Linked DNA regions of Caenorhabditis elegans. The protein of the gene in region 1 purifies or fractionates together with the protein of each later gene. This does not show direct contact. Each region holds a gene or a part of one and is shown in the gene's direction. Other genes may lie near its edges.

The links.
Region 2: the proteins of unc-3 (region 1) and jmjd-3.1 purify together in Caenorhabditis elegans (affinity purification with western blotting, with the first as the bait; one study listed by BioGRID). This does not show direct contact.

What each region holds. Positions count from the first base shown.
Region 1 is NC_003284.9:14,771,843-14,776,716, forward strand, and holds the start of unc-3 (Transcription factor unc-3), read left to right. Parts: upstream 1-1,695; 5' UTR 1,696-1,748; coding exon 1,749-1,834; intron 1,835-4,813; coding exon 4,814-4,873; intron 4,874-4,874. UniProt on the Caenorhabditis elegans protein: Transcription factor. Involved in motor neuron fate determination and maintenance, acting as an activator of gene expression in a subset of motor neurons. May act in concert with GFI1 homolog pag-3 in motor neuron fate determination.
Region 2 is NC_003284.9:8,569,517-8,575,827, forward strand, and holds jmjd-3.1 (Lysine-specific demethylase jmjd-3.1), read left to right. Parts: upstream 1-1,532; 5' UTR 1,533-1,557; coding exon 1,558-1,606; intron 1,607-1,878; coding exon 1,879-2,442; intron 2,443-2,582; coding exon 2,583-2,753; intron 2,754-2,806; coding exon 2,807-3,201; intron 3,202-3,248; coding exon 3,249-3,479; intron 3,480-3,530; coding exon 3,531-4,242; intron 4,243-4,288; coding exon 4,289-4,464; intron 4,465-4,521; coding exon 4,522-5,114; intron 5,115-5,174; coding exon 5,175-5,375; intron 5,376-5,426; coding exon 5,427-5,520; downstream 5,521-6,311. UniProt on the Caenorhabditis elegans protein: Histone demethylase that specifically demethylates trimethylated 'Lys-27' of histone H3, a mark associated with transcriptional repression, thereby playing a central role in the histone code.

The sequences.
Region 1 (4,874 bases):
GATGGCAATCACTATCAGTGCCCGAGCATCGCTTTTATAGAATAATGAAAGGAAATTTTACAAGCACACAGTTCAGTCGTTTCAGCGTTTCAGTCGTAAAATTTTGTTTCGTGAGCGTTGATATGTAAAGTGAGTTGACATTGTGAAATAAGTGCTGGATGGTACAAGACGTTCCGATGTCGAAAAATAGAAGGACGAGAAAAAAAAAACAACGCTGTCGTAAACCTGCTCTTTAAGTTTAGTCTGCCGATTGAAGCTGTGTATTAAAATATTTCTGTCAAGCATTTTTAAAAGGGAAGAATTAATTTCCCCACCATTATCAGAAAAAATTTCAAATGAATGCAACAAATCTAAAGCTATGTTATTGTATTTAATATTTGTATTACAAACTGCAAATACTGGAAAACTGTACAAACACGTGGTGTCAGAGTGTCTTATTTCGGTTTGATCTGCGTAGATCTACAAAAAATGCGGGAGAAGAGACGCAGAGTTCTCAACTGATTTCTCATGGTTAAAAATGTGCTGACGTCACATTTTTTTTTGGGAGAAAAATTCCCGCATTTTTTGTAGATCAAACCGTGATGGGACAGCCTGGCACCACGTGCATAAACAATATTCTTTATACAAACGGGGTGGTTCATAATTATGGGGTCCAGTTTACAACAGTGCAACTTTTTTTTGAAGTTGGAACAACACAACTGAATACCTACTTTAATTGCAGAAAAACCTTATGCATTCAAGTGGCTACAAGACCTCGCGTTCCGAAACTACAAATAAAATAAAACCCAATATAACACAACTTATATAATAATATTTCAGCTTCAATTCAACACCATGATAAATATTTTTGATAATTCCAGCATCCCTGAAAACGAACTTTGCGCACTCACTCACACCTGGAAACATCTTAGCAACTACGGTAGATCTGAAACATCGTTGCTTTAGTGAAAAGAAAAATACCGACTTGAGAACAATATTCTGTGTATATAAATGTTTTATCAAAGCAATTGTGATAACTTCGCCAAGTTGATAACTATGAGCAATATTACACTTCACTTGCACGACTTCAAATGCTGGCTCCTGGCTTGTTCCTAAAAGAAGATGGTCACAAATAGCCAAACACTCTACATTCTTGATTCCAGATACCGTAATCTGCAATAGGACACACGAATCTCCATCAATTTTCTTCGCTATCCTCTCATCCTCTCCCATCTCTTTATTTTTTTGTGCTTCTTCCGTTTTTTTTGTGTTGCCTTCTTCAGTGTTGTCTGTCTGACCTCTCACGTCTCAATTGTTGAAGATTGTGAAGAAGTATGCACAAAAGAGGACCAAGGCGTGGTATGCTATGCTTTCTAGGATGATTGATGAAATCCTTCACTTGACTTTTCTGTGTGTCATACAACTATTTTCTGTAATATTTTTGGTGAGCCACCACACCAGGCTTGAACGTGAAAGGGGTGCGAACAATCTTCCCCCAGCTGCCCCCCCATTTTTTTGCTGTAGAGATTTTCAAAGTTTCGCGCCGTGCCTTCCGGCTAATCAGGCATATCTCCATAACCATAATTCACAGTCAGCTGGCTCAATCCTCACACTCGCTCCGTTATTCCTCTCCTTGTTGCATCTATCAGGCGTACTTGGACGGGAGGCCGTCGGACCCAAACCGCTTGTGACATATAAGAGATTAATCTTTTGCAGAGTCGGTTGTGTAGCTGGTGTTGTTGCCTCCCACTTGATCCGAAAACTGTGGCATGAGTTTGACAGCTCCGCTAAGAGCTGGCCAGATGAACTTCTATGATGAACCTTATAATCCTGTATTAAATCTTCACATTCAACCGTAAGTTGTTTTACATGGCTTTTTAGGCTGCCTTGAAAAACTTGATGCTGGAAAATTGAGCAGAATCTTAATAAATAAATAAAGAGAATCTGGTATGGGAGCTGTACTGATCTGAGGCTCCGGAATACTGGAAGTTGTTAAAATAAAATTTATTTATTTTTGGGTTTGATACCGTTCAGACGTAACTCCTTAATTAAATTTGTCTTAGTAAAAGTCGAAGAGGTTCTACTAGAAGTTAATTCAAATTTATTACGTTTGGTACACAATTTCAAAAACAAGTCCATAATTATGGACCACCCTGTAGGATTAGGTGTTTGTGTATTATATGCCATCATATCTAGGTTATTCATTAATAACCATTACAAAGAAATTTGTTCAATTTTTGAGCTTAGGTTAATATTATTTCCAAGCATACTTCATACTAAACATATCATTCAATGGGTTAAATAATCTGGAAATTATAATATACAACTACATAGATATACAACTATTTCTTAACTAGGAATGAGCCCCCTAAATCACAAAAATACACCTTGTAAGCATCTTTTCTAAACCTGTCTATTTTCTAAAAACATTTTGATACCATATTCCTGAATACCAAAATGTGTATCTTTAAGGTGATTCATACCTCATTATTATGTTTGAAAGCCTCCTCATTCTCAATGCACTATTGGCTAAAGTTTTAGTCATTCTAACGAATCTATGACAATAGCTGTATACTAGCTATCACAAGCTAAATATCTCTTCGCTCATAATATTTTCCGTCTATCCTCAAACTCAACAGTTGTATATTCTCTTTTGACTTTGCTTCAATTAGCCGTACTCGGGCTCGTTGCCTAACAACCCACCCTCGGAATTGATAGCCACTATCATCCTTCTTTTTTGTCCATAACAGCCACTCTTATTAGTATTGCTTGGTGAGCGTTAATATTATTATCTGATGAATACTCAAACCTTGGAATCCTTGCTTTTCAGCAATTCTGGTGTCTTTGCGGACCTTCAAAGGTAAGATAGAACTTCTAGGACGACACTTTTGAAATAGAAGAGACCCAACTCCTTTTTTTTTGATGACGTTAGCGGGATTTCATTCCCAAAGGGGAAATTGTAAGGTGTTCATGGCTTGCGATACATTCTTGAGCTTTATTGGCGATGAGTTTAGTAAGTCTAGAATTATGTTTGAAACACTTAAATTAACAATTAACTTAGTAAGTATAACGTCATTTCTATAGCGTCATACGTTGTTATGATTCAGGTGCTGATGTTGAAGATGAACTTTTAGAAATAATTCAAAAAGTACATCATCTTGTTGTTCCCAAACGTTTTTGTAATCCATATTTCTTTCATTTTTCTGCTTGGATTTGAGCATTTTGTTTTTACATAAATTTCTCAATTCCTTCCGAATCTAGAATCCCGTACATGGTGAATGATGAGATTTGGGCTATTGAGATGTTACAAATTGCGTAGATGGCTACAAACTGATAACTGGAAACAAGTGGACAGAGAGAGGCCATCTCCGTTTCGCGCGTTTCGGTTATATATCTCTTATTGCTAGTCCAGAAATATTTGCATATTTCGAAAACGGGGCAGAGCACTCACAAACCCACACACAAACACACATACCAGTTATACGAGTTCGCAGCTGTCTTGTCGGATTTCAAACCATTTACATATATGACAGAGTGAAGTGAGGAGCCCACGAGCACACCACATATCACCATGTTTGGGAAAGATAGTAGAATGCTTCACTTTTTGTGTTGAGTTTTTTTTTTCTGAAATGGGTGAAGGCGTAGGAGCAAAGGAGCAAAGACAAGGAATCGTCTTCTGAACATTTATACAACAAATATTACAATTTCCAATAATCAATTATTAAACATAACATGAAGTCTGTTTCATTTCATTAAAGAGATAATTGCATTTTATGTTAGCTACTCGAAAAGTAGATTTTATTAATTGTTATGTTCGTAAAAATGTTCGTTCAAAACATTTATCAAAAACTCAGAAAATAACATTACTGTCTAGATCACGAAATCTAAAGGGAATTGAAATATAAAAATTTTTCATAATAGCAGCTATACAATAACAAAATAGCATTATCCCAAAAAATATTTTTAAGGGTTTTTTTTAGGAATTTCAGATAACCCATTTTCGTTTTAAATTAAATTAAAAAATTAAACCCATTTTCGTAATGAGATTTTTTGTACACTTTTTGAAAATGTTTCATGGCGGATCTGAACTTTGAAAACAATATTTCGTTTGCATATCGAATTATAATTTTTAGGCCTAAAAATAAAAATAGTACAGGGTTGGTCATTATCAAATTTTACACAAGTATCAAAATATGGTTAAGATGTTTTTTCTAAAATAAATTACAGTTTTATTACGGAACGAAAATACATTCAATAAGCATATATATATATATATATATATATATATATATATATATATATATATATATATTTGATTTTTGGGAACCTCTTAGCCAAGATTACGTAACAGAACAAAATATTTACTATGTTCATAAAACATGAAAAATATATAATTTTCATCTGCTTAAAAAAAAAAGTCGGTAGCGTTTTAAATGAGATCGCAATGGGAGAAGCACGAGAAATAATTATCTTTCGAGCCCAACTTCACCGAGTTGAAAAATTGAAGCACCCCCTAGTTCATCACATGTTTTTGGCTGGGTTTTCTCCCCGCCAAACCAAAACTTTGTCTATGCTTTTATCTGTGCTTCATCGTTACTCCAACATCAGTAAAGCCGGAGCCGCAGTCAAATCGGCCCGTCGCCAGATTCCTTTTTAGCTACTCTCCCCTCAATGTTTTTCCTACTGTGTGCCCACCCATTGGCCCCTAGTGCGCAGTAGGCGGAGCTTGCGAAGCTCTGCCGAGCACGCTTGTGGATCTGTGTCTAATGAGGCCGGTTCCCGAGGGGCCGCTGGCTGTGCAAATGTTCTTTCCTGACTCGAATACCTTACTCAGGTCTGTAAAAGATGAGAACCAGCGGAGCACGTGGCCAATCATCGACACGTCGAATACAAGG
Region 2 (6,311 bases), 6.2 Mb from region 1:
CCAATGAAAAGGGACGGTAAAAATTCACTGCTTTATGAGCTAATATATTTTATCACCCCGTTTGTTTTGCGCACCGCGCCAAAGAATGAGTCGCACAATTTAATGATAGGCATTCAATTTTTGGCTACGTTTACAATACCGTATATCGCATACTTTTATGCAGATAATTTCATAAAGTAAAGCAAATCATTGAAATTCTCCATGCCATGTTGAAAATAGCTTTGAGCAAACTAGTAGGAGAAAGTAGGAAAACGTACTATGTTGCGAAAATAATTAATCTTAACTATTTTTATCTTGATTAGTTTGATCAAAAACGTATATGTTGTACACTAAAAGAAGCTACTTAGTTTCATATGTTAGACCAAAAAAGCGGTGTACTTTTTTCAATTTCACACACGTGTTGTTTCAAATTGTTTTATTTTTGATTCAAAAGAACCTAGCAAATTTCAGTTTTATTGTCTAATTAATGTTCAAAAGTAGATTTGTGAATGTATTGCAATGACAACATGACATATACATTAAATATTGGGCAGGCCACATCTTATTAGTCCCTTCACTCTTTCTTCTCACGAGCTTAGTTATTTACTCGACTGGAGCCAAATAGATTGCGTGTTCGGCCGTGTTGCGTTCTTTTCACACGTGGCTAGTCTCAATATATCTAACCAACAAGCAAGCAGAGAAGCAACGTCTCGTTCTTTATTTTTCCTCGAGCGCCGTTCCTCGTTTGATATTTATTTACGTGCGTGTGCACAACGCACAGCCATCTATAGCTAGTCAGTGTATGCCCCGTCAACAACAAAAACAAAACGAAAAAAAAACCACGCTATCTTTTCTACCTCCTCGTTTGACGTCGTTCGTCCATACTTCATTCATTGACATCGTGGGATGGGCAGTAAACAAAACTACTGTAAATGCTAGTTTACTATTTTGTTGTATTTTGTATTCTAGTTGTGTTTCTTTTCTAAAATTAACCCTAGACAAAAATGAAATGGCAGCTGGATTAACCAATAATACTGTGAATGCATAGATAATGCCAAAGTTCATGAAAAGGGCAGATATATGTACTTTAAGTTATGTAAAGATCCGGGAATGTCTACAAATGTGCACGTACTCTCTATTAATAGTTTGATGGGATTCTAAATTTGAGATTTAATCAAACTAAAATGTTTGCTTTTTCGATCTGCTTTTATCACTTCAACTCAAGCTTTAAAAAATTATTCAGAGCCTGGCAATGTTCTCACCTACGCATCGTGTTTCCTGCTTATCTCCTCATGATTAACTTGATTCAATAAATGGATTTGACCTGGTTTATACATGTGTATTTGAGTAAACTTAAACCCTTATTTTAGATTGGCACCTTTTCAGTTACATCTTAATTATCTACGTCATTATCATTGAAGTGCCTAACTAGAACTTCGGCTTTCTCACGTGCCTAATTAAATTCTTACAAATTTTTTGTCCGAACTGTTTTCTTTTTTTTTCAATAATCGCTTCTTGGATCTACCTACCCACCTATAAACTCATATTTACAGTTTGTTCCCCAGCATTTACCATCGTATGCAAGGGAAAAATTCACACTTGACTGGAATAACTGGAACTACACATTGTGAGTTACTTTGCATTTTTGCTATAGTGACCAGTTGGCGACCAAAAGTCGAACTGAAAAGATTAGTGCATTCATGCGAAAGTTCTACATAAGATTCAATTACATTAGTCATATTTTAATACGGATATGACTTTGATATTTAAAGATTAACAAGCAAGGTATCTAATTAATTAAGCACGAGTGCACGTTTCCGCAAATTTATACACCTAAAAACGCGGGCAGCATTCCTCTTTTCAATTTTTGCTACCTCATCTTATACTACTTATGTTTAGTTACTATTTTCGGAGCAAGCCCAAGAAGTATGTCATTGGTTAAAAACTCACAGGAAACTCCACCATTTCCCGGAATGAACTCCACCATGAGGCCAGTAGAATTCAACTCGACCAAGCAACCGGAAGCTCAGACTATTGATCAAGAGCAAGATGCTCCTAAAAGCTTTGATTTTAAAAATCAAACCCTTGGCGTGTATTCTGATACTGTGTTGAATCCACTCAAAAACGATAGTTTCAAGGATGAGCTGGTTGTAGATGTTCAGAAAAATCTTCCCATTGAATCGTTGACAGTATCTCCAAAGAGTTCTACTGACCAGAATTGCAGATCTACCAACGAGGCTATACGAATTGCAGGATTTGATAACTTTGCTGATCAGCTCCAAGAATCCAATGGCGTTTTCGAAGCATGCCCAGAGGCCCATTCAGAACAAGGAAATGAGAGTGAAGATTTTAAAGATTTGATCAATAGTGAAACTGAGTGCAACATTGAAGACGTTGTTCTCCCGACAGTACACGTTTCTACGGATTCTGAAGAAATCATTTCGGGCGATGTGATTATGAATGGTTAGTAGATTGTTTAAGTATAAAATATTTTTTTCATTCTTTGATGTAACTATGATTTTGATAGCTTTTGAAAAATTGAAACAAAATACATAGTTAAACTAATTTGGAAACATTCTAATACTTACTGGGAACATTTACAGACAGCAATGTAGTTTCAAAACCAAAAAATTTGGAAAAAGTCGAAACGCCTGATGTTCTCATTGGCAGTGGTTCAAACGACAAGCTCTCTGATATGACTGAACAAATTGGCAACAATCAGCATCTTGAAAAACTGATCTCGGAGAAAACTGAGAAATCACTCAGTGACAATGGTGAGAGCAACAGTTACCAGTTATTAATTTCTGAACGATAATATTTTTTTCAGAAACGACGTTGAAACCTGTGCCTGTGCAGCATACCAACAGTGTCGGAAGTTCGATTGGGACAACTTCTGGAGATTCAGAAATTTCTGACGATGACCAAAAATCATGGAGTCCTAAAAACGAATCGCTTGATTATCAACCTGCTTCTACTTCAAGCGAATTTACAGAAACAACCTCTGTGGCTAATCAAACGGAATCTAATGCAGGAAGTGTAGATGATTATTGCCCCCGCACGTCGATTGACATTGGATTGGACTCTTCCGCTCCTTCATGCTCTTCTGATGCAACAAGGGAGCCTACACCAATAAAAAAGCGTGGTCGAAAGAAGAAGGAACAATCTGCAACCGAACCCCCTATACCCAGGACGAAAAGAGCATATACTAAAAACCCAAATACGGTAAATTTCATAACTAATCTATTCTCAGTTTAATGCATAATTTACAGATCCGAAAACGCCGCATGAAAAAGAACCAATCTGACGATGAGGAAGATGATGGACCACCAAAAAGACGGACGATTAATTATCAAATTGAATTTCGTGATGCTTCTGGGGCTTGGACTATGGCTCAGCAGTTGATATTTGTTCGTGACTTCATGTCTAAAAAGAATGATAAAATAGTAAAACTGTCGAAATCAAGGCAAGACAGAGTTGACAAATTCATTCTTCAATTTCAAGTCAGTCCGCATTGAAAATTATTGTTAAAAAACCAAAAACTAATATTTCAGAAAACCCAAGATTCTCACTACATGCGTGCTGCCATTCAGCTGAATACAATTTTCCCGGATCAAGGAAACTATCGACATTGTCAGGATTATTTGAAAGATCTTACCATTCGTGTAGTAGTACCGCCAAAGCGAAGAGAAGGAAAACGAAAAAGTGAAGTTCCTGCCAATCCACCAGCCCTTTTGCTAACTGGACCATTATATCTCAACTTCTATTGTACATCACAAGAAGTCCTCGAAGCGGCAGGTCAATTACTCGAATTTCATGTCAACGCCGTTTACAAAGATGAACGACTACAGCCTCCGGTTGCCGATAAGACACTTTTGGATCTGGAAAGAGCGATGTATCACGAGCAAGTCAAAGATCTTACTGACTATCACAAATACCGCATACCATGTCCAACTCTCACAGTCACCACCAAAGAAGAAGTATTCTCGTCGGATTTTGAGCGCATTTTGAACTCAGCGAGCATCACCAACATTAGCGGAATCGCAAAGGCTCTGAACATCAAGACTGAACTGTTTTCACTGCCAGAAATTGCAAAGTGTCATCCTGAATTATCCATTGATATTCTTAACCAAGTACCACAAAGTGCCGATGGAAACTGTGATAGTAAAGGAATTCGTTGTTGGGATGTTACATCGTACTCTTCTAAGATGAAGCTGCAAGATTTCGAGAGGTACATGCAGAAGGAGGAGTCTGAAGCAATGCAAGGTAATATTGACTTTTGAACATAAGATTTTTAATCTTTGTTTTTAAGCTTTCGAAACGATTTCAAACTGCACAGCAAAAGAATTAGAGAGCACATGCCAGAAATTGAAAGCTGAGAGAATTGCAGCTCAAAACGCAATTGAGGGCTGTGATGAAACAATGCCTTGGATCAAGTTTGGAACAAATATCGACTTGCTTTCCGAAAATTTCAAGAAGCAGATGAATGTTAGTGATATTCTACATTTTTCAAAATAATTTATCTAATTCTCTATGTTCTTACAGGAAATCGAAAAGCTGCCGACGTTCCTGCTACCAAACCGTGAAGGAAACTTGCTCAACTACGCAGGAGTAGACGTTCTCGGCATCAATACTGTACAGATGTACGCGAAACCAATCGGATCACGCACTCCAGCACACATGGAAAACTCACTCATGGCTAGCATCAACTGGAACCGCGGTCCGGGAACGTGCGTCTGGTTTGCTGTGCCGTACGAGTATTGGGGGCAGCTGGAGTTTATGATTGGAGAGCACGGGCACAAGTACCAGGATCAAGACTATTGGCCAAGCGAAAAGGAATTACTGGAGCTGGGAGTTCCTGTAATTAAATTCGAGCAAAAAGCTGACGAGATGGTATATGTCAATACTGGATGTTTCCATTGGGTGCAGAGCAATAGCTTCTGCATCAATGTATCTTGGAATGTCGGACAGCCAAACTTCACTCAGCTGGCTACCTCAATAGTGGCTCACGATCACAATATGCTCATTGGGAACCAGGCGCATGTTCCATTGGTAAATCTCGTTTGGAATGCTGCACGTCAGAGGCTTTTCGTCGACGATCCCGAGATGTATAAAGCCATGCGCGGTGTCATGATCAGGTTAGTACATATGATAATAAAAATTTGCTATTTTCTAAACAATGCTCAATCTAATTTCAGATCACTTGCCCATTCAAAGTGGTACTTTGATCTTATTGATCATCATGACTACATTGTTGGAGACGCTAGCGAATGGAAGCTTGCTGATCGCGTTCAACGATGTAAATACTGTACATCTGAAATCTTCAACATTGTCAGATGGTACACCACAGAGGACTTATCAGTAGATTCGTACCCCTTCTGCTCTCATTGTCATGTAGCGTGAGTTTTATTCAGGATCAATGAATCATCAATGAACAGTGTGTTTTACAGAAACGAATACAAAAAGGACAGGTTCCTCAAGTACACATGGTTCTTTTCATTAGAAACATTGGTTAATATTTTTGATGCCTACGTTCCTAATTAAATATTTATCCAACAATGGTGCCTTCTAATATGTTTTCTAGGATTTTTCCTCAAATTTTAACGTTCTTTTATGATGTTCTATTAGTTTTTTACAGCGTTTAAATGCTGTTTTTCTGTATTTTTTTTCAATTTTCATTTTTAGCATTTGTTTTCCCGAAATCAACTTTCAAAATTTCCAACTCAAGCCTTTCTATCTCAATTACATCCCTAATTTCTTTCGAAGAAAAACGTACCTCGCCCCTTAATTATGATTCTTTCCATCAAATGGTCCCTGACTTCTCACGTTTATCCATCACACTCCTCGCTCTCGCTATCTCTGCAATTATCGGTGTATTTTATCAAAGAATGTTATTCAAAGAATGTTAAAAATATTGAAAATTAAATCATTTACTATATATAAAGCGCGTGTCCTTCTGTCCCTATGTAGTTTGATCTTTGATCTTTGGTCTTTGAACTCTGTAGTTTGTAGTCTCAATCACCTAAGAGGGGTCCTATAGCCCCGCCCCTTTTGTGACGTCATCACAAATTGGCGGGAAATTCAAATTTTCTGAGAAATCATTTTGGCGGGAATTTAAAATTTTAATTTTTTGAAAATATTTTGGCGGGAATTCAAAATTTAATTTTTCGAAAACATTTTGGCGGGAATTTAAATTTTAATTTTTTGAAAATATTTTGGCGGGAATTTAAAAGTTTAATTTTTTGAAAATATTTTGGCGGGAATTCAAAATTTAATTTTTCGAAAACATTTTGGCGGGAATTTAAAATTTTAATTTTTTGAAAATATTTTGGCGA